Caenorhabditis elegans: one gene and its partners. The protein of the gene in region 1 purifies or fractionates together with the protein of each later gene. This does not show direct contact. Each region holds a gene or a part of one and is shown on either strand. Other genes may lie near its edges.

Region 1 (10,398 bases):
TTTTTTAATTAAAAAAATAATTTTTTTTGTTTTTTCGACAAAAAAACGGTGTTTCCAAAAATTACAAACGAGGAAAAAAAATCGAAATTTTTTTGTGATAACTGCTATCATGAGAACACAAAATTCTGAGAATGCGTAATGCACAACATAATTGACGCGCAAAATATCAAAACTACAGTAATTCTTTAAATGACTACTGTAGCGCTTGTGTTGATTTACGACACCAGAGTTACAGTAGTAATTTGAAGGATTACTGTAGTTTTCGCTACGAGATATTTTGCGCGTCAAATATGTTGCGCAATACGCAATCTCAGAATTCTGTGTTCCCGTAATACTGTACTTTCCGTCACAGTTCCTAAAATATAAAACTCACATCATCAGCCGAAATTGCACCCTCTGAAATACATAGTGCTGCGACTTCCTTCAAAGAATCCGTATTTCTTCCGGTCAGCGAGAGTTGGTACTTTTTTTTCGCGAACAGAAGAGCCGTGCCTTTTCCGATTCCCGAACTTGCTCCGGTGATGATGGCGACTGGCATTTTCGGATACTCTGAATAAATTCAAAACTGAATCAAAAAAAAATCGATTTTTTTTCAAAAAAAAAAAAAATTAAGCAAGGAAAAAACCACTATAAAGGATTCAATAAAAACACAATTAAAAAAAATACATGTATCTCTCTATTTATTACATGATAAAAGTTCAAAACAATCTCAATATGAGACAAAAAAGCTAATATTTATCTCGGATGCATGATTCCGCGGCCTCCGTCAACACGAAGAAGTTCTCCAGTAGTGAATGAACTTTTCTCAGAGGCGAGGAAATAGATTGCCTCAGCAACTTCATTGGCATCACCGGGACGGCCGAGTGCGTGTGTCGTTTTACTACGTTCCAAGAACTGAAAGAAATGATGATATTTATTTGTCAAGGTCAGTGCAGCAGGTTTTATACCGCAGAATATGTTGTCTCGTCTTGACCAGATGTACGATGCAGGTTGGTCACGGTGACCCCTGGGCTGAAATTTTTGGAGAAATGACAAATTTATATGGGTTTATTAAGGGAACACAATATTTTGAGAATGCGTATTGCGCATCATATGTGACGCGCAAAATATCAAAACTACAGTAATTCTTTAAATGACTACTGTTGCACTTGTGCCGATTTACGGGTTTTTTTATTTATCAAAAGATTATTGAAAATGAGAAAATAATACGAAGAAACGAAGAAAATAAATTAATTTCCAAAATCGAGCCCGTAAATCGACACAAGCAGTACAGTAGTCAGTTAAAGGATTACTGTAGTTTTGATATTTTGCGCGTCAAATATGTTGCGTAAGACGAATTCCCAAAATTTTGTGTTCCCGTAATACGTGTGTTGTTAGCGTTTCATTCGACAAAAAATGAGAAAGTTAGCGATTTTTGCACCAAAATACGGTAACCGGTCTCGAAGCGATCTTTTTTTTTTCAATTCAAAAGTGCGTGCGCCTTTAAAGGAGTACTGTAGTGTACTGTAGTTACTTACTCCTAGTTTTTGCGAGATTTTTAAAGCAATTTTCCATAGTTTAGCTCCTGTCTTTTAAAAAATTCGTTTTTATTCAAAAAATATAAAAATGCATCAAAATTTGAACAAAAACAAGAAAACCTATGAAAATTCGGCAAAAAGTTAGAATTTTCAGGAAATTTTCCTAGTTTTTTTTTGTGATTTCGTTCTTACTCATATTTTCCGATAATTTTTCGATTTTTCGAAAAAAAAAAAGCCAAAAATATTTTCGATTTCAAAAATAAATATTTTTCCGATTTTTCGCAAAATATCTTGAAATTTTGACAATTTTTCTTCTTTTTGGAAGAAATGTATATGTTTTCTTATTTTTCGAATATTTCTTTAAAAAACCTAAAAACCGAAAAAATCGTAATTACAGTACTCCTTAAAGAGAATCGATCGCTTCGAGACCTGGCACCGTAGTTTTTTGGCAAAAATCGCGAGAAAACTCACCAAACAGCATTAACACGAACTCCATTCGGAGCCATTTCGAGAGCCAAACATTTTGTGAATTGATCTACGGCCGACTTGGACATACAGTAATAGGTTACATTTGGGAACTGAAAATTGCGAATTTGAAAATTATTTTCAACAAAAAAATAACATCATACAGGGCACGGTCCATTAATACTGCTGACATTGACAACAGTTCCTTTTGTTGTAATAATATGTGGAAGAGCTGCACGTGTCAGGCGGATCAAACTACGAACATTCACATTCATTAGCTCATCGTAGACTTCAATTCCAGAATCGAGAACTGGTCCGGCACGCAGAATCCCGGCCGAATTGATCTGAAATTTAGAATATTTTAAGGGTTTAATAATTCAAGAATCGGTTGGAGAGTTTTTTTAAATGTTTTCGTTATCCCCATATTTTCTTTTTACAGGTTGGTGCAATTTTTCTCGAAAATAAAAATGAGAAAACTCTTTAGGCAGAAATTTGGAAAATTCGAAAAAAAAAGTATCTAAAAAAGCGCGCAAACTTTTTTCTCAAAAAATTTTAAAAAATAAAAATTCTAAGATCTCTGAATCTTAATGTGAAATGCGACAAAAATAATTTTAATTTTAAAAAAAATAATTAAATTTGGGTGCAAAACTGAGCTACAGTACTCGCATATACTACAGAATTTTTTCAAATTTTCCTTCGATTTTTATATATAAATTTTAATTTTTCAAACAGTTTTTTATCGAAAAGTATAAAATTCGATGAAAATTCCGCAGAAACAAAAGAAAATACAGTACTCTTTAAAGGCGCGCACCTTTTTACAAGTTGCAAAAATTAGTCGTGGTGAGACCAGATACCGTATTTGTAACGCAATAGTAGTCGCAAAACTTCACATTTGGATAATTTTCTGTGCATTTTTTTACAAAATTCGCAATTATTACGTTTTCAAAAAGAATTTTGAACTAAAATTTTTTATAACGGGAACACAAAATCCTGAAAATGCGTAATGCAACACATTTGACGCGCATAATATCTCGTAGCGAAGACTACCGTAATTCTTTAAATGACTACTGTAGCGATTGTGTCGATTTACGGGCTTTATTATCTTGATTATGAGAATCAAGCCCGTAAATCGACACAAGAGCTACAGTAGTCATTAAAAGAATTACTGTAGTTTTCGCTGCGAGATATTTTGCGCGTCAAATATGTTGTGCAGTACGAATTCTCAGAATTTTATTTATTTTTATGTTCCCGTAATAGTTCTAAATTTTATTATAACTTTCCAAAAATAACCCCCCACCAATGTGTCAATTCGTCCAAACTTTTGCACAGTCGCATCCACAATAGTCTTCGGAGCTTCTTCTGAAGCCAACTCAACAGCGGTCACCAGTACATCATTCTTATCACTTCCAGCACTGACAATTTGCCCGGCGAGCTCATTGAGAGCCGCCACATTCCGTCCGGTAAGTGAGAGCTTGTAGTTGTTCCGGGCGAGAAGAAGAGCCGCCGCACGTCCAATACCAGAACTTGCACCTGGAAAAGAGGGGAGAGGAATGGAATTTCAAGTATTTAGAGTCATTATTACCTGTGACAATTGCGACGGGCATGGTTGACCTGCAAAATCAAAATTAAAATTAAAATTGAAAATTGAAAATTGAAAAAAAAATCTTTGAAACAAATAATAAACGGCATCCTAAAAAAACGAGACCCAGAGAAAAATACAAATTTTGTTTTCTCCGCTCCTGATAACACATCACACATCAGGAGTTCAACTTTTCCAAATTTTTTTGCGCGTAAACTGTGGTGCATTAGGTACATGACTCAATGCATCACATTTGACGCGCAAACTTTTTTATTTCAAAATCCATGTCAAACTGTGGGTTACTGTAGTTGATATTTGAAAAAATTGCTATTTTTGTGCCAAAGCTACGGTGCCTGGTCTCGTCGCGATAAATGTATGTTAAATGTAAAAAGATGTGCGCCTTCAAAGAGTACTGTGTCAATGAAAATTCCAAAACGAGAAATTACAGTGCTCTTTAAAGGAGCACACCTTTTCGTATTTAACAAATATTTGTCGTGTCGAGATATGGAGAAAAAAATCGTAAAATTTTGATGCAGAAAAATGCGATTTTTGAAATCGAGGTGCAAGCGCGCTCCACGGTCAAATGGAAAAGCTCCGCCCCCAAACGTTGGGTCTCGTTAGGTATTACCGCTTTTTTGCCGATTTCACCTGTTCTCAAGCATTTTTTCGTGTTTTTTCAAGATTTTTATATCGAAATTATGTTTTTAAAATTGCATTTAAAAGGGAAAACCGTTATTTAATTTGATTTTCCTTAATTTCGACACATAAAACTAGTAAAATCGGCAAAAAACCATAAAAATTCCCGGTTGTCTCGCCAATACCTGACGAGACCCAACGTTTGGGGGCGGATCCTTTTCAGTTGTCCGTGTCAGTCTGGAAACCTATATTGGCTACTATCTCGAAAACCATCACAAAATCGATTTTGCGATGCATATAAGAAATGACCGCAATGAATATACCTATCTTTATTTGTGATGAATTTTCGATTTTGTGCTTCCTGCCCAAGTTATGCACGTTTGTTCGGTGGAGTGCGTTTGCACCCATCTAGCAACTGAACCACCGTGAAAAGCGCATTTTTCTACGTCTCAATAATATTTCCCTTTGTTCAGTCTTTTTTTCCCGTTTCAATTCAAAAACTAATCAATCATGATGAAGGAAGTTTTGTGTGTGGGGCGGGGTGAGCGTTCGTCGCCGAAAAAAAAACAGCAGTAACGATATTTAAGGCTGAGAATTAGGGTTTGAGTACTGATAGATAGGTCAGCGGCGAAATGTTCAAGATCATTGTTCTACTGGCTACGATTCTGATCGTCACTGTCTATGGTGGGTTTTTTGAGATTATTGATTTTTCAACAAAAAAAAATTCGAATAATGTTTAATCACCCAATTCATTAAAAAAAAGAAGTGTAATGGGATTAATGAAAAAATAGGATTTTTTATAAATAGTTTTTAAAATTTGACGAATTTTTCTGCTTTTCGCCAGATTATTTGAAAAGTGAATTTTCGTAAGGGGAGTCAGAATGTCCTATTTGGGTTTTGATCTTCAAAAAATGCGGGAGAAGAGACGCAGACTTCTCATCTTATTTCGCCTGGTTAAGAGCCTACTGACGTCACAATTTTTCCGGAAAAATATTCCCGCATTTTTTGTTTATCAAACCGCAATGAGACAGCCTGACACCACGTGTTTTCAAAAATATCAATTTTGTACAGGGAATTTGTTTATTTCCCCAAAAATTAAATTTTTTTTCGAATTTGCGCGTCAAACATGGTGCACTGTCGTAGTTCACTGACCCAATGCATCAAATTTTACGCGCAAATGCGGCCCTAAATGAATAATTTGAATAATTTCCAGGTGGCTGCCCCGGCATTTCCAGCATCTACCTCCCCCGCCGAGTCAATTGTCCCCTCTGCGATTTCGCTCCATTTTCTCAAGCTGTAACCGGCTCCGGCAATCAATATTCGATAAAATGCCCCGCTGGCTCTGATGTTTGGTACTACAATGAACAGGGACGTGAATTCGTGACCCCAATGAGTAAAGTTGGATCAAAAGGAAGCATCAAGTGTGATGGATCGAAATGGAAGATCAGTGTGCCCGGACAAAGTCAGACACTTTCTGCGTTTGCGTGTGGATCCTCGTAATAAGATATAAATAATCCAAAAATTGTTAGGAAACTTATCAAATGAAACTAATAAATACTAGTACAAATGAATTATTATTCACAGAAAAAAATAAATAAAAATAGACAAATCACAGAAGCTCATTGGAAATTATTTGGTACATTTAAATATTTGTGGAAGCAGAAATTGGAGGAAAAAAATAAATAATTAAAAAAAACCGTAAATCAGGCAATAGAAAATATTAAGAAGCTGCTGGCCAATAATTGTTGACTAGAAAATTAGAAAATACATGAGAAAAAAAAAATCAATTAATTGTGTTTCGGTCTAAACGAGGCGTCGGAAATATCTGTAATAATATCGGGAATATCGATTGAAACGGAAACTTCTTCGCTCGAACGACGGCTGTCTCGTCGTTTTGGTGTCGGTGCCATCGAGTCCGTTCGACTCTGAAAATTTTGGTTTTTTGTTGAAATTTGGAGGCAGATACTGTTTTACTACTTGATCTTTTACTACGTATCTCTTTTACTACAAGATCTCTTTTACTACGAATTCCGCATTTAGATCTTTTACTACAATTGGCTCTTTTACTACGTGATCTCTTTTACTACCATTTGACCACATAGATCTTTTACTACGGAAAATACTTTTTTACTACCTCATCTTTTACTACGTGGATCTTTCACTACGGTTTCATATTTCGATGTTTTGCTACAGTTTGTATCTTTTGCTACGGTAGACATTTTTACTACAATGGCAGGGATTGTACTTTTCACTATGTTTCGTATCTTTTACTACTAATTTTTTACTACGAATTAAAAATTAATGTCTATAGTATTTTATATTCTAGATATAAACAAATGTATGAATAGTTTTTTTTTAATACATAGGTCATAATTGTAGATGGAGTTAATGGGGTTAGACTGTTGGGTTACTGTAGTGGTATTGTGGAAATAACAGTTTTCAGATTATATAGTGTTTTTTTTTAATTTCTAGAAATTTATTCACTATGAAATGAGCAGAACTTATTATGGCCATTTGGATCTAGAAATTAAAAAAAAACACGATATGATCTCTTGCTCTCTTGTAAAACTTTTGTAAAAATTCCAGAAACATTTAAAAAGTCCTCTATAAATGTTTTAAAACTCAGAAGATTTTCTGAAAATGAAAATGTAGGTATCCTATCTCGGTCGTCAATTTATTTGTCATAGTTTTCAACTACAAAGTTGTTGAATATGGTATGATCTACGATTTGTCAGTTGAACATTTTTTTACCAAATTGTTTTCTCGCGGAGTTATCGGTACTTGGAGTCAATACGTTTTATGAACTAACTTTTGACAACTTATCTCCGTTTTTTTTTCAAATCTAAAATCGTGATTAGAAAAAAAACATTTCTAAAGTGTTGATCAAAAGTTTCAAAATGTCAGCTGAAGTCAAAATTTTAAACACCTGACAGATAACTGACCGAACCCACAAGTTTTTTATTACATTATAGACTTATACATATAGACATTATAGACAAAACTTATAGAGCAACGGGTATGGAACTAATTTGTTGGCTACGCGAAAAAAAAAGAATTACTCCCACAATACCACTACAGTAACCCAACAGTCTCCCTCCATTAACTCCATTTACAATTATGACCTATGTATTAAAAAAAACTATTCATACATTTGTTTATATCTAGAATATAAAATACTATAGACATTAATTTTTAATTCGTAGTAAAAAATTAGTAGTAAAAGATACGAAACATAGTGAAAAGTACAATCCCTGCCATTGTAGTAAAAATGTCTACCGTAGCAAAAGATACAAACTGTAGCAAAACATCGAAATATGAAACCGTAGTGAAAGATCCACGTAGTAAAAAATGAGGTAGTAAAAAAGTATTTTCCGTAGTAAAAGATCTATGTGGTCAAATGGTAGTAAAAGAGATCACGTAGTAAAAGAGCCAATTGTAGTAAAAGATCTAAATGCGGAATTCGTAGTAAAAGAGATCTTGTAGTAAAAGAGATACGTAGTAAAAGATCAAGTAGTAAAACAGTATTTGCCAAATTTGGAGGATGTGGAGCAGGGGTGGGCGGCAAGCGATTTTTCCGGCAAATCGGCAAATCGCCGGCATTGAAAATTTCCGGCAAATCTCCGAACAAAAAAAATTAAGTTTTTTCCTATTTCCAAAAATTTGAAAATCGAGAAATCGAAAAAGCGAAAAAAAAAATTTTTTCCATATTTTTTTTAAATTTTGAGTACATTAAAAAAAATTCAACTTTAGGTAATCATTTTTTTATTTTAAAAATAACTAAATAACGTTTTTTTTTGGCTTTTTTTCCAGAAATATGTCTTTTTAACTCCGAAATCCTAACCTTTTTGAATTTCTGAATCGTTTTCTTGTTATCCACAATTTGCAAAGTGGCAATCACTGAAGCGGCAAGTGTGGCGTCAAGTGGATCGAGCACTGCTCGCTGAATAACTTTTGGAATCGTATTTCGATGATCGAATATCTGGAAGATGTATTTTAATTTTAATAAACTTTATTTGAATTTTTGCAGAAAATTATTACCCAACCGTGAAGTTTTGCGTTTTTATCGCCGAAAAATACGGTACCTGGTCTCGAAACGACAAATTGTTGTAAAATGCAAAAATATGTGCGCCTTTAAGTACTGTAATACTGAAATTCTGTTTCTGCGGATAGTTCAATTTTTTTCGTAATTCGTTAAAATGTGTGTGTGTGTGTGTGTGTGTGTGTGTGTGTGTGTGTGTGTGTGTGTGTGTTTCATTGCAATATTTTGGTTATTTAATTAATAATTATATTTTTTTTCCAAAAATTATAAAAATTCCGCAGTAACAAAATTTTGAAGCTACAGTACCCTTTAAAGGTGCACGCCTTTTTTCGTTAAACAAAAATTGTCGTGTCGAGACCGGGTACCGTAGTTTTGGAACGAAAATCGCAATATTTTATATTTTTTACGTCTGGTAATCAGGACTGAATCCAAAAAAATAAAATTTTATTAAAAACTCGAAAAAGGCCAAAAAATCACATTTTTCGGCAGTTTTCTTTTTTTTATTTCGAAAAAAGCGAAAAAATAAAAACCCTTTTTGAGCATCTTATCAACTTTTTACTGTAATTTTTTCAAAAAAAAACGCGGCGCAAAAATCGCAACATTTAGTGGCTGGGTCATATCCAAATAAAACATGGCGCATCGACTCGATGCACCATGTCAAATATTTGGAAAATAGGTTTAATAAGAAGCATTTTTTCTCAAACTTTCAATGAAAACGCTGAGACCTGAAGTTTTTTGAGAATATCATCAAGAACCGGAGGCGTCCATTTAATTCGATCAATAAATCGAACTCTCGGCTCTACTTTCCATTCTTGGCACGTGAAGATTCGAGGATCTTTGCTAGTTTCCGATACAACTGATTCTTTACTTGAAGACACTGCCGGAGACGAATTTGTCGAATGAGATGATGATGTGCCACTGTGTGATTCTTTCAGATAGCTTTTCAAAAGTTCCGGCAAGAATGAGACTTGTGCGTTGAAATTCGTCTCAATCGCCACTTCACTGAAGAAATCACACACAAATGTCGTGAGCACGTCCATTGGCATTTGGAATACTGATTCATACTTGTCGCCATCATCGACTCCGTTCAGTTGTTGTGACGACATTTTCGCTTCGAGACCCGGAAATTGGAAGAGTTCCATCACATTGTGATTCGTGGCAGGACCCGATTCTTTTGTCTGAAAAATCGTTAAATTTGTATTTTTATACAGAAAATTTGAGTTTCCAGATTGTTTTATTTTCTTATTTTAAGTGCCAGAAGTATTTTTTTTTAATTTGTTACTTTAAATTTCGGAGCGTTATTAACTTTTTTAAAATTAGAAATCGTCAAATTTAATCATAAAAATTTGAAATTAGAAAAAAAAACCCATTTTCAAATTTGGACTGCATTTTTTTAAAAAATATTCCTTATTCGTTTTTTAACTTTCACAGGAAAAATTATAAACATAATATTTTTCGTTGTATGATTCCGTATAATGCAAAAATTTCAGAAAAAGCGTAGCCTTCATTAAATTTTTTGATATTACTTTTTCCGTTTTTTTTTTCAATTTATTCGCATTCTAATGAATTTTTAACGAATGTCTACCGAGAAAATTTTCAGAAATTTCAGAAATATCGAATTTTTAAGAGAAATATTCGAAATTGGCAGGTAAAACTTTAGAAAATGAATTTAAATTGATTTAAATTGAAAAAATCAACAAAATGATTTTGAATTAATTTTTTTTTTTTGGAAATATTTTTAAAATTAGCCTGTTATTTTTAAAGAAAAAAACATTATTAAAATTTTTTAATTTAATTTTATTTCGATGCAGTTTTCGTGTCGAGACCAGGTTTTTTTGCTGAAAAACAGTAATTTTTGACTTTTTCGATTTTTTTTTGAGAAAACCAAAAAATTGTGCGCGAGAAAAATATTTTCAATTAAAAAAAATCGAAAAAGTTCGATTTTTTTTTTCAAAAACAGTAATGTTTTTTTTTCGGTTTTCAGAGAATATTTAGAGAAAAAGTTTTACGAAACGATATTATTTTAAAATTAAAAAAAATCGAAAAATTCGATTTTTTCTTTTTTCTTTTTCAAAAACAGTAATTTTTGACTTTTTCGATATATTTTTTTTTTTGAGAAAATCAAAAAAAATTGCGAAACGATATTATTTTCAATTTAAAAA
Region 2 (12,008 bases), on another chromosome or scaffold:
CCATCAACGCCACCACCTCCAGCTAATCGACTGTTTGCTGCATTGACAATTGCGTCGACGGAAAGTTTAGTAATATCTCCATCCCAGACACTGATACGGCCCAGAACGTTTTTGGCAACCTTGACTGAAAATTGTGTACTATTTTAGAATTATGAAACGCCTGAAGCTTACATTTTTCAAAGAGAGTTGGAATTTCTGAAATTTTAGCTGCTGCCATTTTTTATCAGCCTTAAATTTGAACTGATAGTGACTTAAAAACAAAACAAATTAGGATAAAACAACGCGTGGAAGAAATTGTTCACGAGGACTACACGCAACATGGACTAGAATTTCGTGCGGCCGTGGCTGAGTTTTCTTATTTTTATGTTTCTCTCTCCAGAATTTTCTGTTTAATATCTTTTAATGTTGTTTCTTCGTTGTTTCTTTAATTAAATCTTTGAATTAAAAATAATTTAGAATGCCGGAACACACGAAAGTTTCTGCTGAAGACCAAGCGCTTCTCAATAAATTCGCTCGGTCATACCAAACACAAACCCAGTTAAAAGTACGTTTTTTTTTAAATTTTACATTAAAGTTTCTCTTCTTTAATTTCAGGCAGACGTTAAAGAAGCTAAAACACTCATTGACAATATCAATGAAGCAAGTGATGAAATTTTGTTGCTCGATGATGAGGATTCAGCATCAATTCCATGCAGAATTGGAAGCTGCTTCGTTCATTTCAATGGGGTGAGCAGTTTTTTTTTTAATTTGAATTGAGAATTAACGTTTGGTTTACACGAAAGTAGTGATTGGTTTTCAGGATAGTCTGAATGAGCATTTGGAAGGAAAGAAGACAACAGCAGAGAAGGTTTTGTCTGAGAAAACCTCCGAGTTGGATGCAATCTCAGCGGACATGGAGCAAATCAAGAAGGTTTTGTACGCCAAATTCGGAGATCAGATCAATTTGGACGCTGAAGAATAATCTATAAATTCTAATTTCTTATTTTGCTCGATTTTGTATCTTTTCCGTTGAAGCTTTCATATATAAAAATTATCTCAATTTAAAAATTGCTTTTCTCACCTTTTTCACAACGTGTGCTCACTGTTCACTGTTTCCGCGTATTTTGCTGATGAATTTTTTCGACCGATTTTCCTTATCACGAATGGCACCACCCACTTGTGGGTCACACCAGATCCTAAATATCAATATAGTGGACGGGAAGAGGAAGGTTTTTTCGTGTTTGGTGTTCATTTTAGTTTACATGTTTTGTTTCCCATTGCTCTTTATTTATAGAGGAGACGCTCGCCCACGTAATATAATAGCATTTTGGAAAAATCCATTATCTTTCAGACAATCTTATCATGATTTCCACAATAGACTGGCTAGAATGTAGCATTCTAAATATTTGAATTTAACAGAAAATATTCAATTTCTCTTTAAAAAAATACTTGAAAATTAATTATATTCCCAAATTGGCAACATTCTTTCCCGATTGTCTTTCTGTCCATTTAATTTGTCTGCCCTTTCTTTTCTCACCTTTTTTATCCGTTTCTTTCTTTGTCACCTCCGAAGTTTTGTCAGCATTTTCCGTTTTTTTCTCCTCATATTTTGTTTGCACTTTTCACCTTCTAAAAAAATGATCGGCAGAGACACAAATAAATGTGGCCATTCGTGTGCTCCGTTTTCCAAATGAAACCCGATTGGCAGAATTTATGGTTGAAAATGCATAGTTATTTAGGAGTTGCAAAGAACAGTTTTCATTCTTCTTTTTCTTTGTCTTCTTGTTAATTTGGTAAACTGATCAGACGTTAATCAAATTGATAAACTTTCAAGTTCAGTGATTTTTGATTTGTTTTCTGAAAACGAAATTAGTTTTTTCTCTGATAGACTAAGTCTTCGAAGAATTCATCTTCCAGATAAAATCCAAAAAAAATGTGTTCCAGAATATCCTAGTCGGTCAACTAAAAGTCAAGAACCATAGATTAAATCTAGAGTTACAAAGTTTCGTCTCTTCTCCAGAGTCAAGTTACTCGAGTTTTTATGTTTCCTAGAGAAATACATTGTTTCTTTTCATTGTCGATCAATGTCGCCCAGAGAACATTATTTGTCATGGTTACCACTCGCACACACTACACAATTTCATTCAGTCATCATTTTTTGTGACCCGAGAAGATTTCAGTAAATATTTTCATGTTTGTAAAGAGACTGGCGCATCCACTTTTCTCTTACTGTTTCTTTCTTCTCTCGCTGCCCTGTGAAAAAAATGGAAGTGGAGTAAAAAGTGACCGATTTATAGTGTTGTTCCAGTTGTTCCAATTCATTTATATTGTAGACTGCGGTTCGCTACTAGGTATATGATTCGAAAGGAAAAATTACATTTTTTAGTGCTAGAAATTAACATTATTCCATTAAATGTAACTAGCTGAAAGTAAGCAGTTTATTACTCTGCCAGTAAAAAAGAATTGCGCAGAATCATTATGAAGTACATCAATATATCAATTAACGTATTTCTTTTTGATTTTTCGTTGTATAAATGAAACAATAATCTCACTTTTAAATAACATTTATGTGTATCTAGATGGTTTACTTTGAAACTTGTAGTTTCTACTATTTACCTCTCAACACGAGTAATTTTTGTGAATCAATGTTCGTCATTCTCACTTCAAAATCTAGTTTATAAATTTACAGAAATGGCATGCAAACGTCATTCAGTGTCCGATCCCATTTCGAAGGATCTCGTCGAGTGTCTTCGTGAATCAATGCAAAGAGATCTCAAATTTGAGACTCCGTACGTTTTCGTGATATTTGGAGCATCGGTATGACATCTATTCCATATATATCGATTATTAATTATTTAACATTTTTTCAGGGAGATCTCGCAAAAAAGAAAATATACCCAACACTGTGGTGGTTGTTCCGTGACAACCTTTTGCCAGTCAACATCAAATTTATTGGATATGCCCGTTCCGATCTGACAGTTTTCAAGCTTCGTGAATCTTTTGAGAAAAACTGTAAAGTTCGAGAAAATGAGAAATGTGCTTTTGATGACTTCATCAAGAAGTGCTCATACGTTCAGGTAAATCTACATCTGCTAATAAATAGGCGTGAAACTTTGTTCCAAAAATACAGTGCTCGGTCTCGACACCACAAATTTGTGTTAAATGCGAAAACGTATCACCTTTAAACAGTACTGTAGCTTCAAGCTTTTGTCGATTTCAGATTTTAAAAAAATTGTTTTAAAACTGAAAAAAAATAATTGCAACACATACATTTTTTTTACAAATCAGGTAGGAAAACTACGAAAACCAACAAAAACTTGAAACTACAGTACTCTTTAAAGGCGCGCACTTTTTTGCATTCAACAAAAATTGTGGGGTCGAGACCGGTTACCGTATTTTTCGCACAAAATCTTGTTACTGGGTAATAAAAATTTGAATCGAAGCTTTTTTCTAGAAACTTTGAACATAAAAAGCACCATTGACATTTTTTCAGGGCCAATACGACACTTCTGAAGGATTCCAACGCCTTCAATCTTCAATTGATGATTTCCAAAAAGAAAGCAATAATCGTAGGTTTAGAATTAAATTTCACTCAATCTAAGCAAATTTATAGAAGCCGTCAATCGTCTCTACTACCTCGCTCTTCCTCCATCAGTTTTCAACGTGGTTTCTACGGAATTAAAGAAGAATTGTATGGATCATGGTGATTCATGGACACGTGTTATCATAGAAAAACCATTTGGACATGATTTGAAATCATCTTGTGAACTTTCAACTCATTTGGCGAAACTTTTTAAAGAAGATCAAATCTACCGTATTGATCATTATCTCGGAAAAGAAATGGTTCAGAATTTGATGGTTATGCGGTAAGAATGTTTTTTCAAAGTATTTGAAGAGATTTATAATTTTATTTTGAACTTTCAGATTTGGAAACCGAATTCTCGCTCCATCTTGGAACCGCGATCACATTGCATCAGTTATGATCTCATTTAAAGAAGATTTTGGAACTGGTGGCCGTGCTGGATATTTTGATACAGCTGGAATTATCCGTGATGTTATGCAGAATCATTTGATGCAAATTCTAACTTTAGTCGCCATGGAGAAACCAGCAAGTTTGAATGCTGAAGATATTCGTGATGAAAAGGTCAAAGTGTTGAAAGCTGCTAAAGTTGTAGAATTAAAGGATGTAGTAGTTGGACAATACATTGCCAGTCCTGAATTTGATCGTGAGTTTTTCAAAAATTACAATTTTATAAAAGTTTTGATTTTTAAATACATTAATTTTAGACCCAGAAGCATCACAAGGATACAAAGATGACAAATCAGTTCCAGCCGATTCGACTACTCCAACGTATGCTCTTGCTGTTGTTCACATCAATAATGAACGTTGGGAGGGTGTTCCATTCTTCTTGCGTTGTGGAAAAGGTAGGGAATATACAAAAAAAAACCGAATTTTTAAATTTCAATATTATTGCAGCTCTCAACGAGAAGAAAGCAGAAGTTCGTATACAATTCAAAGAAGTCAGTGGAGATATCTATCCGTCTGGTGAATTAAAGCGATCCGAATTAGTGATGAGAGTGCAACCAAATGAGGCAGTTTACATGAAACTGATGACCAAGAAACCTGGAATGGGATTCGGTGTTGAAGAAACTGAACTTGATTTGACTTATAATAATAGGTTAGTTTTTGAAATTTCTCTTCAAAAAAAATTTCATTGTGATAATTTCAGATTCAAAGAAGTCCGTCTTCCTGATGCTTATGAACGCCTATTTCTCGAAGTATTCATGGGATCTCAAATTAATTTCGTTCGAACTGATGAGCTTGAATACGCTTGGCGTATTTTGACGCCAGTTCTCGAAGAGCTTAAAAAGAAGAAAGTTCAACCGGTTCAATATAAATTTGGAAGGTTGGTTGTGTTTCTTTTTTTTTAAAATTAAATACAGTAATCCAATTTTTCAGTCGTGGTCCAACTGAAGGTGACGAATTGATGAAAAAGTACGGTTTCATCTTCACTGGAACATACAAATGGGTTGCTCCAAAGCTATAAATGATACCAGATCTTCCTCTATTCATTCTCTTTCAAATGTTTGTAGAAATAACTTCAAAAATTCAGCAGCTACTAGTTCATATGTTTTCCTGTGTTCCACATCAATATTATTCCTGCTCTTTTTTCATTTGTTAATGTTCTATTGAATGAATGAAAATAAATACGTTTTCAGTTAAAAGAAGTGTAGAACGATAAGATAAGCCAGTAAAAAGGCTTATTTTAAATAATCTGTATTCAAAAAATAATCATTTTTTCGACAAGCCGGTTACGGTGCGCCAGTCCGCAAACACTCTGCATACACTCTACTTCTACAGTAGTGGACGTGCGACGCGTGTTGCGTCGCGCATCATCATATTGTTCAATTCTTGTTCAAGTTCAATCATATTTTCTTCGGATTTCTATCATTTTCCATCGGATTTCCCATCATTTTTGCACAAATGTTTTAAAGTATCAATATCTTTGATTTAAAAAAAAACGTCTTTCTTGTTTTACGTCTTTTTCTTGCTAGCTGCACATCGTATTACTCATTCTTTTTTTCAGCCATGGTTGCTGCTTCCGCTACCCGGAACATGCTCCAATCATATGGAAAACGTGGAATTTACGTTTCACTTGCTGTCGCTGTCGTCTCGACTGCCGCATTCAACGCATTTTACGTTTGGCCACGTCACAACAAATATGAAGAGTTTTTCGCGTCAGTGTGATCCTCGCACAAGTGTCTCCCGGGCAACGAGCAAACTTGCAGAAACTACGATTCGTACACTCGAATGAAAGAGATTTGTTCTGCTAACAAGGGGTACATGCATACTTGTCCAAAGGAATTGGCGAAATTGTACGAAGAGAAAGGGAAAGTTGTTGCCGAGCACTAAATGTTTGATAAATTATTCATAATAATACAAGTCAATAAAGTCTATCATTTCTTTATTCAGTTATTTGTTTTATTCTTGATCAGTACTTTGTGGTTTGTACCACATTCATATATTTTTATCTAAAATTTTCTATCCACGAAAAACCTCCCTTTATAGATAAAAATGGTCGAGAATAAGAGTTCGTACGAACTGCCTGATCAAAAAACTCTTGATATGAACAAAGAATGGGTGCAGGAGCTGGAGGATGTGAGTTTCCAATTGTTTAGCTTATAAATATATTTTATTTTTTATTTCAGATTTTCTACAGCTACAAGAAGTACGATGTGAACAAGGTCAGAGTTCAGCAGTTTTTGGACAGAAGATCCGATTTCCTCGTCTATGACTTTTACACCTCTAACCTGTCAATGGAGTATGTGAACAATGTCACCTTTAATAACCTCATTTATACAAATTTTCAGTGCGATGCAGTATTTCCAAGCAGGTGTAACTCAAAAGGACGTCGGACTGAGCAAAGACTACATCCTGCTCATGCGTAAACTGTACAGTATGCTCACGGAGCCGAGCAAGCAGTTTTTCCAGGAGCAATTCGTTAAGGAATGGCAATATCACGAAATTGATTATACGCCATATTTCGAAACACTCGTTCCCCGATTCAGGGAGAAAATTGCGAGATTATTGGATGAAATTGTCAAAAATCCTGAAGAGGTCGACGACGATGTTCAGGAAGAGGTTGGATTTATAATTTTGAAACAAAGTTCATATTGATATTTCAGTTGCGCTGGCACCTGCTCTTCTCACCAGTCACCACTCTTCTGGACATTTTCACTCGATGCCTCAAGAACTTCGAAATCACTGGATTTTGTTTAAATGTGTGCCTAAAAGTGCCACAATTGTTCTTCGATCGTCCGCTGAAAATATATCACACTGAATACGAAACCGATCGCGTTGAATCACTCATGGCTCTGGTTTTCCGCAGATTGATTTTCAATAAGCGCTGGGTGGATACAAGTGACGAAGAGTGGAGCAATTTGGAACAACTCGCAAGGGTGATATGCTCAGGACAGGAACCCTCGTTGATGTCTGCATGGCCACTTCTGGAAGTGGTGCTTTGCGAACTCTACACTCAGAACAGAACTCCCATGATATCAGTGGAAGTTTTGAGCGAAATTGCTGTGAAAATTGTTGAAAACTTCGATAATTTGAAGTATGCCACGTCGGCGAGAACTAAACCAGCTGAGAATGTTCTTTTGACTCCTTCGATTATTTGTTTCTTGCTCAACATTATTGTTGACGAGAACGTATCGAATACAGTCATTGAAAACTGTAAAATGATTCTCAAGGCGATTGGTCAAAACATGGAGCAACCGTTCGATGCTGAAGCGAAGAGCTACTTAACTTCTAAGGTTTTGAAAGAATTTCCGTGGACCTTAGAATTCGCAATCTCAACGTGGTTCAAGGCTCTGGAAGTTGAGAAGCGACGCATTCCATCAGCAGTCTACAAAGCAATCAATGCAGAAATGAAGGAGACATTCGACGAAAGAACTTTCGATATCGAGGAAAGCGAAACTGTTGATCAATCGATCAATGAAGAAGACGAAGAACGTTGTTCGACTCTATCATCTGAATCTTCAGTGAAAACTGCGATATCTATTGACCATAAATCGGACACCGCTGTTGATAATCTGGAGATGAATCAACTGCATCTGAGCCCAAAGCCCAAGGCTTCTGTAGAGGCAGTGAAAAGCTGTAAGCCCGCTTTTGTCGCAGTGATATTCGAGGAAATTCCACCCGAAACTGATCAAAACATCTCAGTTTTTGAAGATCCAACAATTGAAGTTCTCACGGAATACCTCGATTGTATCATCACAATGGGAGTGTTCGACATCTCGTGCGCCGACGAACTCATGCGTCACAGTTCAGTCACGTTCGAATCCTCAGAACAACTGGAAAAAGTAATGAAGACGGCGTTTGAGGAGAATTTCGAGATCGCAAACGCTGGTCCACAGCGTATCAAAGAGATCTCTGGGAAGATTTTGGAGGTAATGTTTTGTCATTGTCACTAGGAAAGATTTTAATTTGAAAAATACACTGAAAATGAATGGAATGCTTTTTCGTCGTGTCTTTTCTGATTTTCTAACTTTACAGGTTTTCGGCTCAACCTCGTCGGAATCGGACCACGACCGTATCGCTTCATCGATCATAGAGCTCATTCCAACAGAAGAATATGAAAAGACTGGGCCAAGATGGAGTCATGATATAAAGAAATCGGAAATCATTCAGCCTCTGGTTATCCCAGTCGAAGCAACGTTGGAAAGCTGGCCACCAGCTGGTAAGAAAATATAATTCAAAAGTAATTATTATTTCATTAATAATTCTGATTTCTTGCAGAGTACCGTTACGTTGCTCCTGGTATCAAGGAATCTCGTGACTCTGCACGACATGAACGCCTACTACGCCAGCAACTTGCAACAACCAAATCTTTGGAAATGGCTCAACTTCATCGCGATTTGTGGGCGGAAAACGAGAAAAATATGGAGCATTGGACACGCCCAGCGTCCCCTTGCAATAGTTCATTTTTCGCTGAATCTAGCGTGAAGCCAACAACATCAAGTATGGATTTTAATGCTGATTTTTTCAATTATAATTATTGCAGGCGCATATGGCAACTCTTCGAATTTCTCTCGTTATGCAGACTGATCGTCTCTGAAACTTTCTTATAATGTTCCTTGTGTTCCTTTTGTTACTTTGTTGTTAATTTTTCGTTCTTGTTTTTTGTTGTAAAATGCTTTATGCAGGTTTTTACCTGACACTGATTTTGAGCCCACCAAGTCTTCGTGATGGAACTTCTACCCATTTCAAAGACTTCGGGATTAATTGTTTTCCCTCTGAATTTTTTATAATTTTTCCCGATTTATTCTACCTCACCGTGAACATTTTAACCCCTTAATTATCCCATGAGACCGCTCATTTTTATAAAATCGGTAGGACGCGAATTTCTTTGTTTATTATGGCATTGTGATATAGTGGGGGATGGGGTGGTATGCAGGGCTTAGCTCATGGTTTTCCTTAGTTTTCTGACCGATCGTCAAATATAGGTGAAAACTTAATAACAATATTGCATTCAGGGCTCGAATTTCAAGCAGACCGCTTATAAATGCAATACAAAATTTATTAAAATGGGATTGAAAAATTGTAATTATCGTAATTCTAGAATTTCCTCATACGTTTTCTGACAGAACATGGAAGGTAGAAAACTTTATAACAATATTGCATTCAAGCAAACAACTTATTAAAAATAAATGTAATATGAACTTTATTAAAAAATTTATTAATGGGAAAAAGTAGGATTTTGTATATTTGTGGCCCTAAAGAGGCCGTTGGGTTCGGTGGGTTTGTTTAAAGAAGAAAGTTCTTACTCCTTATCTCCTCCAGTCTTCTTTGGGAGAAGAACGGCTTGGATGTTTGGAAGAACTCCTCCTTGGGCGATGGTCACTCCGGCCAAAAGCTTGTTGAGCTCCTCGTCGTTGCGGACAGCGAGTTGAAGATGTCTTGGGGCGATACGGGTCTTCTTGTTGTCACGGGCAGCGTTACCGGCCAACTCGAGAACCTCAGCAGCGAGATATTCAAGAACAGCGGCCAAGTAGACTGGGGCTCCGGCTCCAACACGTTGAGCATAGTTTCCTTTGCGAAGAATACGGTGAAGACGACCGACTGGGAATTGAAGTCCAGCTCTTGATGAGCGTGACTTGGCCTTTCCTCCGGTCTTGGCTTTGCCTCCCTTTCCACGTCCAGACATGATGAGCGATTGGTGTTCGTAAGACGAATCTGAAGAATGAATCGAAACTGTCTGTTTATATTCATTTCTACGGTGGAGGGGCGGAGTTTCATGCGGGGACACCTCTATTTGAACATTCCGCACTCTCTGGTAGGACACATTTCTCTCACTTCTCTTTGTCCCCCTATTAACCTCGGTACATTCGGAATTTTGTGTGCACTCAGTAATGTGTCCCCGCGGGAAGCTCCGCCCCTCCACCGCAGTTTTTACATAAATAGGTGTCTCTCCAACCATTTCCTCATACTTGATTCAAGTTCATTCTCATCATGCCACCAAAGCCATCTGCCAAGGGAGCCAAGAAGGCCGCCAAGACCGTCGTTGCCAAGCCAAAGGACGGAAAGAAGAGACGTCATGCCCGCAAGGAATCGTACTCCGTCTACATCTACCGTGTTCTCAAGCAAGTTCACCCAGACACCGGAGTCTCCTCCAAGGCCATGTCTATCATGAACTCCTTCGTCAATGATGTATTCGAACGCATCGCTTCGGAAGCTTCCCGTCTTGCTCATTACAACAAACGCTCAACGATCTCATCCCGCGAAATTCAAACCGCTGTCCGTTTGATTCTCCCAGGAGAACTTGCCAAGCACGCCGTGTCTGAGGGAACCAAGGCCGTCACCAAGTACACTTCCAGCAAGTAAGCCATTAGGCTGAAAACTACCCCACCGAACCCAACGGCCCTCTTTAGGGCCACAAATCTTATAATCCTATGTTATTAACCAAGTGAATAAATAATTTTCAATTATACTCTTTCATAATTTTCAGGTTTTGCATTTTCCAAGTTCAGTTAATTTGAGATTAACCCAGTATTCATTTTCTAAAAGTCATTCTTTCAGAGAGAGAAATTCAAAGCATCTTCGGAATTCTATCTTTCAAATTGTAGATGGGATTCTTCGAATATTTCCAAAAACTTGTATTTCCGTAGTTTATGAAGTTGCACAGAGAAAGGGAAGCTAATGGCCGAGGCTTATAAAAACTTTCGGTTTTCAATCTTGTTGGAAAAATCTCGGGTCATCTCACAAAATTGGTTGAAAAATGTTATGAAAAACTATTACTACATCAAATTACAAGAAGTTTGAAAAAACGCTATGAAATAATTACTTGATTTCCGATATCAGGCGAGATATATGATTCAGGCACTGGTTTTCAGGCTTCAAGCTTTCTTCCGCTTCATGTTCTTGGATATCTAAATCATTTCGATCACCAACTTGAATTATAAAGTGAATTCATATGGTTCGGGAAACAAAACTGTGCAGACTTTCATATACCCTTTTGTAAATAAAATTGAGAACGAACGAAGAAAATCGAATACCGAATGTCTACTTGCATGCAATTCTAATTTTAAATTTAAAAAAAGTATGTAGTTGTGCAAAGCAATAAAGAAAATATCATGTCAACTTGTATTTGAAAATGCTAAAATAGAAAAATCAAAATTATTTAAGATTTATTTAACGAGATCAATTAGGATTTTGGATATTTGTGGCCCTAAAGAGGGCCGTTGGGTTCGGTATTTGGTTTGTATGAAAACAGAAAAGATAATAATTATCCTCCGAATCCGTACAGAGTTCTTCCTTGGCGCTTCAGAGCGTAGACGACGTCCATGGCGGTGACGGTCTTTCTCTTGGCGTGCTCGCAGTAGGTGACAGCATCACGGATGACGTTCTCAAGGAACACCTTCAAGACTCCACGGGTTTCCTCGTAGATCAATCCGGAGATTCTCTTGACTCCTCCTCTTCTGGCGAGACGGCGAATGGCTGGCTTGGTGATACCTTGGATGTTATCACGGAGAACTTTGCGATGGCGCTTGGCACCACCTTTTCCAAGGCCTTTTCCTCCCTTTCCACGTCCGGACATTGTTGAATTCGTTGAAGACTCACAAGTGAGATGAAGAAATGACATCACAGTATTCCTTTTGTACACAGCTGTGGTGGCTAGGCGGAGTCACATTGCACCACTCTGCGAGGACACCTTTCCTTTGTCTGTAACACACCGAATGTTCTAATTGCCACAAGGACAGAAGTGCGCCCGCCCGCCCTCCCACCGCAGCTGCGTACAAAGGCAGTCGTTGGTTTCTCTTTTTTACAGTCCCCACGGATTATCAACCTAAACGCAATGGCTCGTACCAAGCAAACCGCCCGTAAATCGACCGGAGGAAAGGCTCCAAGAAAGCAATTGGCCACCAAAGCTGCCCGCAAATCGGCTCCAGCTTCCGGAGGAGTCAAGAAACCACATCGTTATCGCCCAGGAACCGTCGCTCTTCGTGAGATCAGACGTTACCAGAAA
Region 3 (11,006 bases), on another chromosome or scaffold:
TTGGCTCTAATCATAATATAACGATTATCTTATTTTCGATGTCTCTCTGCTTCATCTCTAGAAAATCGACTCCGCCCATGTACAGGCTCCTCCTCTTTGACCGCTCTCCCCGGCATCCATTTGGCACATTCCGTTTTATTTCCCCCTTGCCTAGCAGACGTTCCTTCCTTCTTTATGGTTATCGGTAGGTAATAGAAAAAGAAATGAAATAATAGAAGAAAGAAACGGCAACATTTAAGAAAGAGCCATTTTTTTATTTGCGCTACCGTCTGACCTACCCATCTTTCGTTTCATCAATGCAAACAATGAAAGTGAGTACTTTGCAAAAAACAGCAGACACGTATCATCTATCATTTGAGTTGCAGCTAGTACACACTCAAAACGACCTATCAAATGGTTGGCTCAATGCATCATGAAGCTGTCATTTGTCCATTCACACATTTTACACTATTTTTTGAACTAAAGTGCATGTGAAAGTTTTTGTTAGGCTATCAGGATGATTAGGTTTTAAAGTGATTCATTTTTACAACAGTTGCTATTTATTTATAAATGTTTTAGTTTACACTTCTAGAGCATGGGTCATAAGAATTTGACCTCTAACCTAGAGTAATTAATCAATCTATCAAGTTAAATGACGTCAAGTGATAGGGAGCAAGTGTCTCTACAAGTTGATGATCATGAAGCAGAATTATTTCATTTCAAAAAAAAAATAGGATGAGTGTTCAAATTGAAAATTAGAAAGGGTATTTTTTATAGGCGAAGGCTTTCGAAATCGTAGTAAACTCGTAGTATATATTTTAGAAAACTACTTTCTAATTCTTTCTTCAAATTTTAAAGCTTCCATTTAAATTTTTAGATTTTTCTCTTTTTAGTCCCTTTTAAAACACATATGTTTAATCAATCTCTTACCACAATACGAATATGAAGTTCGCTCTTATCCTTATTGCCCTGTGACGTCATCATTTATCAAGAAATGAATAGCATTCTTTTGAGCACACACACACACGTGTGGTTGGTGACCCTGGCCAACAGACATCTGCATGTCTGCGCGCGTTCACCCTTCTATTCGTTCTCCCTTCTCATTTTCCCCCCACCATTGCGTGTGTACCCTCTTCGTAGCACCCCACCTCCCCCCACCGCTCTCTGAGTCTCTAGCCGCCATTTTTGAATCATCAACAAAGTCGGGTGGTAAATTTCAATATCTGTGAGAGGGGATGGGCTACTGGTTTTTGCATTTACTTTTTGCCTTTTAACTTATATATCCTCGTTTCATTCGTATTTCGACGTAGCCCCGTATTTCCGATACGATTAGCTTGTTTATTTCATTTATTCCTTGCAATCTGTTTTTTTTGTTTCTCTATGATCCCTTATATTACATTTTTTATGTTTTCTACCAAAATATTTCCAGGGTACTATGTCCGCTGCAGTGGAGCTTCAGCCGTTAAACGAGGCGAAGAAGGTCGAGGATGCCGAAGTCGAGGAAGAAACCCCGGAGCCGGAGGACAAGGGAAACCTTGTTTTCTACATTATCTTGCTCCATGGTATCGGAACTCTTATGCCGTGGAACATGCTTATCACCATCTCCTATGACGTGAGTTTTGGGTAGGGTGCATAAAAAGTTTGAACGCCATAGCGGTCTTATTGATCATTTGTACTTTAAAACCAAATTAATAGTTGACAGACTGAAAAAATGCTCCTCAAGCTCTACGAATCTAGAAATTGGGAACCAAATCCACTGGTGCTTTAGTCGAGCTACAGAAATGTTTTATCATATTAATCTACATACATTTTTTTAAAACAAATACGTAGTTATTGAATTGTGGTTAAGGAACAACTTGAATTATAAATTAAACTTCCAAAAAATAATAGGATAAGATTTTAATCCTAATTTCTGAACATTTCCAGTACTTCGAATCGTACAAAATGCTCGCCAACTCAACAATCGACATGGACACCGGAAAAGTGACCGGAGACCCGACGGTCTATTCATCCAACTTCCAAAGCTTCCAAACAATCGCTTCCCAAGTGCCGAACCTTCTTCTCAATCTTCTCAACATCTTCATTGTCGTCAAGTAAGGTCATCGTCGCTTATCAGCGCTGCCAACTTGTGGCATGCGAGATAAGTGCCAGAGGTCGACAGAAAATGATGAATTGATGCGCCGGCGTTCGCAACAAAAAAAATGTGACACGCGGGAGAAGGTGTCGATTGGTTTCTTTAAGATCTACGAATTAGATTGAGAAGTTGGTATAATTATTGAAGGGGGTGTCTGAAGAAAAAGTGATCAAATATTTTTTGAAAGCGTGGTCAATAAGGTAACATCAATAAAAGTTTTGAAGTTAATTCTTGAATTGAATTGCTCCAAAATCTGAGAAATGATCCTGCCACAGTACGAACTTTCATAATGCTGGTCTAAAAAACAAGTCACAATTAATTCAAAACTTTTTTTTAAATTCCAAATATGCATCTTCAATTTTCAGGGGAGGACTTGCTGGCCGCATCACTGTCGGACTCTCCATCGTAGCTGTCTGTGTGATCACTACTATGATCTTCATCTACGTCGAAACCTCCACATGTGAGTGATAAGGACACGTGAACTTTTTTTTGCAGATCATCAAACATCGATATCTTCTTTTTTTCAACTAATCTACATACTTCCAGGGCTCACTGGATTTTTCACTCTTACCATCATCACAATCATCGTGTTGAACGGAGCAAATGGAGTCTATCAAAACAGTATCTTCGGCCTCGCTTCTGAACTTCCATTCAAGTACACCAATGCTGTCATCATTGGAAATAACTTGTGCGGAACATTCGTTACCTTGCTCAGTATGTCAACCAAGGCTGTCACTCGCAACATCCTGGATAGATCATTCGCCTACTTTTCAATTGCGTTGATCACATTGGTCTTCTGCTTCATCTCGTTCCACATCCTTAAGAAGCAACGCTTCTACCAGTTTTACAGCACACGTGCCGAAAGACAACGCGCCAAGAATGAGGAAGCAGCTGACAACGAAGGAAAGATGGCAAACTACATTGCGACCTTCAAAGAGGCTTTCCCACAACTTATTAATGTATTTTTGGTGTTTTTCGTCACGCTTTCAATCTTCCCTGGAGTCATGATGTACGTTAAGGATGAGAAGAAAGGAGGAACCTACGATTTCCCATTGCCACGTGAGTTTATCACCAAGCTGGTAAATTTAAAAAAAAAATTAAATTTTAGAGAACTACTTCATGGATGTTACCACATTCCTTCAATTCAACGTGTTTGCCTTCATCGGATCAATCGTCGCCGGGAGAAAGCAATGGGTAAGTGCCTCTGAAAGTTGACAGAAATTAAGTCTTTATTACAGCCCGCCCCGAACAAGCTCTGGATCCCAGTCTACCTCCGTCTCCTCTACATCCCATTCTTCATCTTCTGCAACTACCTCCCTGAGACCCGCACACTCCCGGTCTTCTTCGAATCCACGTGGCTTTTCATCATTGTGGCCGCATCGATGAGCTTCGGAAGTGGATACTTCTCAGGACTCTCCATGATGTACACTTCAAAGACTGTCGATCCATCAAAGGCTCAGGTGGCTGGAATGATGGCTGGATTTTTCCTCATTTCAGGAATCGTCTCAGGTCTCATTTTCACTATGGTCATCAAGTTTGTCGTCACTGCCTAAATTTTTCAAAAACTTCTAACATTAAAGACACCTCATTAGCGCAATCAATGCTCTAACCAAAAATTCTTGCATAACAAGAACATTGCATTGTATCTTATTTTTTACTAACCCAATTATCTTCCCTTCAAGGTTTCAAAATATTAATATCGTTAATTTCAAGTGCACTTACTATTAGTTTTCCTTTTTTCTATCCTTTAAATACCACTTTGTATTTCCCAAATACCTCAATCTATTAGTTGTTTCGTTGTTTTTCTTCTCTTCCTTCCTCAAGTATTATCGCAGCTCCATCTCGTTGTTTTTTTTCTTTATTCTGTTGCAATTTTTACGACTATCCCTTTTTGTGAATAAAGAATGCTTGTTAAGGTTAACATTGTAAAAAGCTGTAATATATGTTTTCAAGTTTTGGTAGTTTATGTAAGATCTCCACAAAATTATAAATTATTTGGTTAATACTATTTTTGAGTAATTATAAATGATTGTGGTATTAATTTGTAAGCCTATCCAGGTGCTGTTTTTTGAGCTTATTATACATAGTTTCTAGAATTCAATCGTTTTCCAATTCTTGTTGTTCACAACATCTATGAAAAATTAAGATCTCATAAAGATTACAAGAAAGTTTAGGCTATGCCTAAGCGCTTCAATTGCACTGGTGAAGCGAAATGTGCTTACGCAAATTTTCAAATTTCTGACAGTTTACTAATTTAGGTGAGTAACTAGAATCAGGGGTGGGCGGCAATTGCCTTTCGGCAAATTGAATTGTCGACAAATTGCGGGGTTGCCGATTTGCCTGAAATTTTCATTTTCGGCAAGTTGCCGATTTGCCGTTTGCCGAATATCAGATTTCCCGGAAATTTTTAGAGGGACTTTTTATAGAACGGAAACTCTTAAAACCGTTTTTTTTTGAATTTTTTCCGTTTTGTCTACATATTTTCATAGAATTTGCTTACTTTTCGAAATAGATGTAGGAATATTCATAGGATGCGTAAAATTTTGTCATTTGAAATTGGAATTCTAAAATTTCCAAAAAAATAAGTGCGAAACCACAATTTGCAGAAATTTTTTGGCAAGTTTCTTTTTTTCCAGCAAATTTGGCGAATCGGCAATTTGCCGATTAGCCGATTTGCCGGAAATCTGCAATTCCTGCAATCTGCCGATTTGCCGATTTGCCGGAAACAATCGTTTGCTGCCCACCCGTGACTAGAATCCCATTTCAGCCACGGATTACTCTGTCATTAGAAAAATTTACGCACACTTGAAAACACATTTGACTATTACTGGTGATGTTAACTTTGAAGATTGAGCACTTCATGCTTCAATGAATAGTTTTTTTAAATATTATATGTACAATTGAATTTTGCTGAAAAATGATTAAACAAAAAAAATAAATTTTGAAAAAGTTTTCTGAAATCATAGGTTCATAAAACTAACAACAGAGAACTATTTATAAGGAAAAGTGACAAAAATGACAAAAATCGTTAGTTTTTTTGATTTTCAAAGCACAATTATAGCACTTAATGGGGTGGGATCATATAGATGTTTCTTATCACACAAGGAATGGGGGAAAAATGTTCAAAACGGTTTTTGACAGAAAAAATCTACTAAATATGCAGTTGGTTGGGTGAGCGAAAGTGTTATATTATGAACGGTTCACAGTTCGATGATGATAGTGAGTAATGGGTGGGGGACTGAAAAAGACTGGGAATTGGTAAGTAAAAGTGACACAAAGTTCTGAATTTCAGAGTAGTTTTATAGTGATTACAAGTTTAGATTTTGACAGGCAACTAGAATTTGGAAACAAGAAACCATACCACCCAATGTTGATTCTTCTGGCATTTTAATGATAATGGGTGACAAGCTCTCACATACAGATAGACGGATTAGAAAGTAATAATTTAAAAAAATACATTAAAATCAATTGGGAATGATTTGAGGGGAAGAAGGGACTTTGCACACATCAACTAGCAGTTGCAGTCCTTCTTCCCATTATTTTCAGCTGCACGTGGCAAGTTCTGTTTTGGCTGGACGCCAGTGTCGGCGGCGTTCAAGTCCAAACTTCCGTCTTGGATATTCTGATAGATTTGCTTGGCCGTTTCGAGGAAAGCGTCTTCGACGTTACTGCCACTGAAAAAAAAGCCATTTGAAATTGATGAATTTGCAGTGGGGGGGTGGGGGGAAGAAACTTACGTCTTCGCACTGCACTCCAAGAAAGTGAGCCCGTTTTCTTCGGCGAAAGCTTTTGCTTCCTCGTATGGCACGTCACGTTGATCTTCGAGGTCGGCTTTGTTTCCGATAAGAAAGATGGCCTGAAAAAGGAACTTGTGAGAATTGGTGCTTGAATCTCATTTTTATTGTAAAATTAAATCAGTGCAAAGTGGACGAAATACTGTTTTCTTACTAATACAGGTAGATTTTTAACTCTCCAAATAAAACTAGATAACCCAATTTTAACTCGTTTTTTTTAGATATTAGTTTAACGATAAAACACACAATTTAGAGCACATACAGATTGAATGTTTTCCAGCTTAAATCTGATTCATGAGAATTTTGATTGAAATTCAGTTTATAGTCTACGATCTTTTGAGCTGCAAATAAATGTTATGCTTGCAAAAATTCATAAATTGCAATTTACTAAACATGGCGTACATCTATGTAGTTTTGAAATTTTGCTGAAAGTTCAAATTCGCTTTAATTTTGGAACTTGGGAATGCTTTTATAAAGTATAAATTCGAGTTTTTATATATTTTTCAACCCTACTTTTGAGTAAAAATTATAAACCAAGTATATATTTTACCTACCGTATTTGGATTGGTCAAGCTTTTTGCGTCGGCCAACCAGCTGCTCAAATGATTGTAGGTAGAACGGCGAGTGATGTCGTAGACCATCAAGGCTCCGGCTGCTCCACGATAATATGATCGCGTCACAGCGCGGAATCGCTCCTGGCCCGCCGTGTCCCAGATTTGAAGCTTGATCTTCTGTCCGCTGACCTCAATAATCCTGGTGCCGAATTCCACGCCGATTGTGTGCGGGCAGTCGGCCATGACTGAAAGTTAGTTATAGTTAGTTTTTGCGTTTGTTGCCCGCAGTGATTGTACGGTGGTTATTGACCGGAGGAACAGGTCTCTTGTTGATGACTAATGTTGACACAAACAACATGATATATCGATTTTCCAGGAATGCGGGACTTACACTTCTTTTCTGTGAACTGATGAAGAAGACACGATTTTCCGACACCCATATCACCAATAATAATATATTTGAAAATATACGAATAATTGTAAGGAGCAGCCGTCATTTTTATGTGTTTTTGTTACCTGAAAGTTGCGGATTATATTTTGGTTATTCGTTTCAGAAAAAAGGATACAAAAAAGTAGCAATGAGAATAGATAGACCACACAAAAGAAAGTGGCTATTAGAGACTGACTGCCAAGTTGTCATTAGTTGGAAGTAGGGGAAAACCGACGGGGAGAGAGAGACAAATGTGGAAGTAGTTGGGATAGAGAAAGATGAACGCCACGTCCAAAAGCAATAGAGAATCCATTGGCCTCCAGAAAGCTAAAAGAGGCAATGTCGGAGAGAGAGAGAGGAGCAGTTGTACGAGGAGTGCTACGCAATGGAATATCACGAGGAAAGAGACACTGGACAAAAACGGGGGCCCCTCCATTCCTCTATCTCTGTCTTCTCTGAGAAACGACGCGTCGCGTACTATCGACCGCGACGCTTGCAACGGAACTGGTCTCTACTGCGTGTCTCTAACGTCTCGCTCTCGGTGTGCGCTGTACTGTGCTGTCTGACTCTCGCCTTATGTGCCGCGTAGGAGACGGATTGGAGATGAAGAAAAAAACACGTAGAGAGACAAAAAGAGAGAAGAGTGAAATGACGAGTGAATGCGCACGTGTGTGTGGGCTCTAGCTTTTCTCCTTATTCATCTGTCATTGGTGTTGAGCCAGCTATCTTTTTCCTTGTTCCAAAGAGATCATGCTTTTTCTTTTTCATATACGTAGATGCCTAAGACATGGAAAAAACAATTATTTCCTCCTGCTTCTTGTTTTGCTCTTCAAATTCATCTTCAGAACAGAGTAAAATACTATAATATTAAATATGCTTAATAGCCTAATCAAATTGCAAATTATGACTTCAATTTCCAACCATGGCTCCCCTAATCGGTTACAACTCGTTTGTGAACAGTCTTACAGTTCTCGAGACATTTGATTTTATCACTATTCGACCATCTACCCACTCATTCTCTATCTCTCGTTTCGGTCCCCGTAGTTTCCTTCTCTGACACTTGTGTTGATCGTAGTGCCGCGATGATATTTCGCAATACCTGCTGATGCACGAGCTTCTCTCATCGCCACGCGCTCTCTTCCGATTCCTCTCGTCGTTTCTGTGATATGTGAAGAAGGGCGGTCCTCCCTCTAGTCATCTACAATGTAGTATTGCGAAATATTAAAAAAAAAAAAAACGGAAAATTCATTGTGAAACCCTCGCAGCCAGTAATGTTTCGCAATAACACCCCTTCATTCTTACCAATTCTAGGGTTATCATTCTTTGCATTTTCTTGTCTGTAGTCTACCAACTTTATCTCATTTGCTTCTTCTCCTTTTGTAACAATGTTCCCTAAACATTATTTTTTTTGTTTTTCAGGGTATGGCTCGTACAAAATGCAAAACCAAAACCGTAGCCAATCCTAGAACTGGAGTCAGAAAAACCGCAAAAGATCTTTCTGAACCAGTTCGTCAGGATGCCGTTTCAAGAAGGAGGCCCACAACTCTTCCTTTTGTTGGAAATACCTCAAGTCGTCCAAGGGTGTTTTACGATGTTCTAGCCAAGAAGAATGTCGTCTTCCCAAATGTCAAAGCAGAGTACCACTATAGAGTTCGCAATGCTCCGAAGATTGATCCAAAGAATTTTGGCACGACGCTTCCAATCTGCTATTCTTCAATCGGACCTGCAAAAACACTTGAACTTCGTCCACTGGGTCGTCTACCCCCGCACATCATCAAAGCGTTGAATGATCACTACGTGCAACTGACACGTGGATCTATGGTTCCGGCTGCGGATCTATATAACAATGGAGATCATCCAGCAGAACAACGCATACCAACAATGTTGAATGAGAATGAGTACTTGCGTTTGATCCAGGAACTCGAGGAAGAGGAGAAGTCGAAGCAGTTTTCAGCTACATCCAGCTCCGCACCACATGTGAACCCATATAGTGCCCAACACTTGGTGAGTTGAAATTAAAATTTGAAATCTTCTCATTCAAAAGAATCAATGTTAAGGTTAACGGTGAAATTATCGGAATCTTTGTCATTTATGGAACTGGTCTTGTTACTCGCGCTGTTTGCTCACAAACTCGCGAAATGTTTACCGCTCACGTGCTTCCTGAATGGAAAGCGTCGAAAGTGATTGACGTCATTCGACGACTTCAAATCCCCACCGACATCTCATCCATGACCGCTGATGAAATCCGTTTAAGGTGAGTCAAAAAAAATGCTCATATGATGAAACAAAGGGGGGATTATGAAATCATTTAAAAAGTAAAAGTCAGAATCGGGACGCTGACGTCATAAAGTCAGAAAGTTGATACAATCTTTGAATAATTCAGCGAACTCTGCATATCAAAGAGAATGGAAATTATCAAGAGTAACGACAGATACATTCTTATGAATCCGTGCGAATCGGCTACAATTCACTCCTACGCCACCGAGCGTCTTGATGAAATAACTGAAAACGACGTGATGAGTATCTACCAAAAGGTTGTGGAGATTGTTCGATTTTGTCATTCGAGAAAAGTGATTCTCCAAAACTTCAAGCCTAGAAGCTTCTACCTAAAGAAAGATGCACATAACAAATGGGTTGTTCGTCCGTGCTTCCTTCAAGACATGAGCTGTGAGGAAGATCAGTCCGAAGCGCAATTTACTCGTAGATCAGTTTGCGTTCCATTCATGGCTCCGGAGGTTTGCAGTTCAAATATTGTTCCACATTAAAAAACATAAAATTTCAGATGCTCACTGCCGAGTCGAGAACACATCATAGCTATAGCACCGAGCTTTGGGGACTTGGTGTCTTACTGTACATATTGCTAACTGGAAAGTATCCATTCCATGAGAATAGTATGCCACTGTTGTTCCGTACCATCAAATTCAAACAACATCGCTGGCCGTTTAATTTTATATCCTCCAAAAGTAGGTCAAAGTGAAAAAATTGAAATGGTTTAAACTCCGCGCCTATTTTAGGTAGAAACATTGTGAACATGCTGCTAAAAAAAGCACCAGCAACCCGAATGAATCTCGAAGATCTGTGGAATCAAGTGAATGGAGATTTCCCGGAAATTAGATGTCGTTCCAACATAATCCTGAAGAAACAGGATATGATTGTGAAGATGGACCTGTTCGAGATGTACTACAACACCTATAAAGATCGACTTCTTCCGAAAAACGTACTCCCAATGTATGAAGAAATGAAGGCTTGCAGAAATGATTCAACAATTCTCACCGAAATGGCAAAGAGAGATTTTCGCTCAATTCAAGAGCAGATGAAACGTCGAATTGAAACGAAACCAACTGAATATCAAACATTAGTGATGCAAGTTCGCCTGCAACAGATCAACCAACTATTCTTCGAGAAGGAAGTAAGCCAAGCCCAAAAGCAACATCGTGCTCCAAGACTGGTCCAACTGAAATGCAGTGATATATCGAAAGAGCTACTGCTTCCCGGTGACATTTACCCAATTAGCGAACATTATCACCCAAGCCAGCAGCCAGTTGATAAAGTCGTCTACAAGCTTCTGTCCGACGCCAATTCGCTGGCGTTTCCAACTGTTATGAAAGGGACCGTTCCGAAATCATATCCACCTCCGGTGTTCAAGGGACTTGACATATCGCCCTCCTAAATAGAACATGTAAATAGATAGCTAGCTTTCTTTATGTACTTTCCAACTTTCTGTATGTTCTCTCGCATCCTTGTAATTAACTCGTCAGAAATTCTTATTCTACCAACTTTCAAAATTCCGAATATTTTAGAAAATCTGTAATGTAATTCAAGGTCGACAAACTACCTCTATGGGTGTTTTATTTATCATCATGTCTGTTTTTTGTTTCAATCTCCAACTTCATGTAACTACTCTTATCTCATATAAGGTCTGCCAATGTGTATTCCTCCCTGTCTCCTCCCAGTCAGCATTCAAACTTTCGCAAGAAGTTTCGATACTGTAGCACTGCTATAATATACATATTCACAAAACTCTTTTACAAAACCGATAAGCCTGTGAATTATCAATAAACATTGGGTCACAAACGACGAAATAGAATTGCATTCGAGATAAGAACTTTATCATT

The links.
Region 2: the proteins of Y47G6A.33 (region 1) and edg-1 fractionate together in Caenorhabditis elegans (co-fractionation; one large-scale study listed by BioGRID). This does not show direct contact.
Region 3: the proteins of Y47G6A.33 (region 1) and rab-14 fractionate together in Caenorhabditis elegans (co-fractionation; one large-scale study listed by BioGRID). This does not show direct contact.

The regions. Positions count from the first base shown.
Region 1 is NC_003279.8:3,559,259-3,569,656, forward strand, and holds Y47G6A.33 (C6 domain-containing protein), read left to right. Parts: upstream 1-4,781; 5' UTR 4,782-4,829; coding exon 4,830-4,881; intron 4,882-5,410; coding exon 5,411-5,697; 3' UTR 5,698-5,810; downstream 5,811-10,398. Other genes in the region: Y47G6A.21 (DeHydrogenases, Short chain), read right to left, coding at 374-538; Y47G6A.22 (DeHydrogenases, Short chain), read right to left, coding at 736-894, 948-1,011, 1,989-2,095, 2,147-2,326, 3,280-3,512, 3,565-3,586; lpd-3 (Bridge-like lipid transfer protein family member 1 C-terminal domain-containing protein), read right to left, coding at 5,985-6,122, 8,039-8,176, 8,962-9,414.
Region 2 is NC_003282.8:11,314,751-11,326,758, forward strand, and holds edg-1 (Protein edg-1), read left to right. Parts: upstream 1-6,049; 5' UTR 6,050-6,055; coding exon 6,056-6,139; intron 6,140-6,189; coding exon 6,190-6,302; intron 6,303-6,351; coding exon 6,352-6,622; intron 6,623-6,666; coding exon 6,667-7,932; intron 7,933-8,038; coding exon 8,039-8,222; intron 8,223-8,281; coding exon 8,282-8,503; intron 8,504-8,546; coding exon 8,547-8,590; 3' UTR 8,591-8,886; downstream 8,887-12,008. Other genes in the region: B0035.3 (Macro domain-containing protein), read right to left, coding at 1-124, 172-217; pfd-4 (putative prefoldin subunit 4), read left to right, coding at 458-544, 595-726, 800-961; gspd-1 (Glucose-6-phosphate 1-dehydrogenase), read left to right, coding at 2,671-2,796, 2,850-3,056, 3,473-3,548, 3,593-3,845, 3,904-4,205, 4,267-4,404, 4,457-4,658, 4,710-4,886 and 1 more; B0035.18 (Mitochondrial cytochrome c oxidase subunit VIc/VIIs domain-containing protein), read left to right, coding at 5,570-5,718, 5,770-5,893; his-47 (Histone H2A), read right to left, coding at 9,306-9,689; his-48 (putative histone H2B 4), read left to right, coding at 9,995-10,366; his-46 (Histone H4), read right to left, coding at 11,268-11,579; his-45 (Histone H3), read left to right, coding at 11,838-12,008. UniProt on the Caenorhabditis elegans protein: Plays a role in regulating deps-1 cluster formation in the germline.
Region 3 is NC_003284.9:15,599,659-15,610,664, forward strand, and holds rab-14 (Ras-related protein Rab-14), read right to left. Parts: upstream 6,978-11,006; 5' UTR 6,959-6,977; coding exon 6,853-6,958; intron 6,707-6,852; coding exon 6,462-6,706; intron 5,970-6,461; coding exon 5,851-5,969; intron 5,788-5,850; coding exon 5,625-5,787; 3' UTR 4,977-5,624; downstream 1-4,976. Other genes in the region: ent-2 (Equilibrative nucleoside transporter 3), read left to right, coding at 1,415-1,591, 1,906-2,072, 2,479-2,573, 2,660-3,172, 3,222-3,307, 3,352-3,666; Protein nipi-3, read left to right, coding at 8,314-8,895, 8,949-9,145, 9,275-9,626, 9,674-9,854, 9,906-10,561.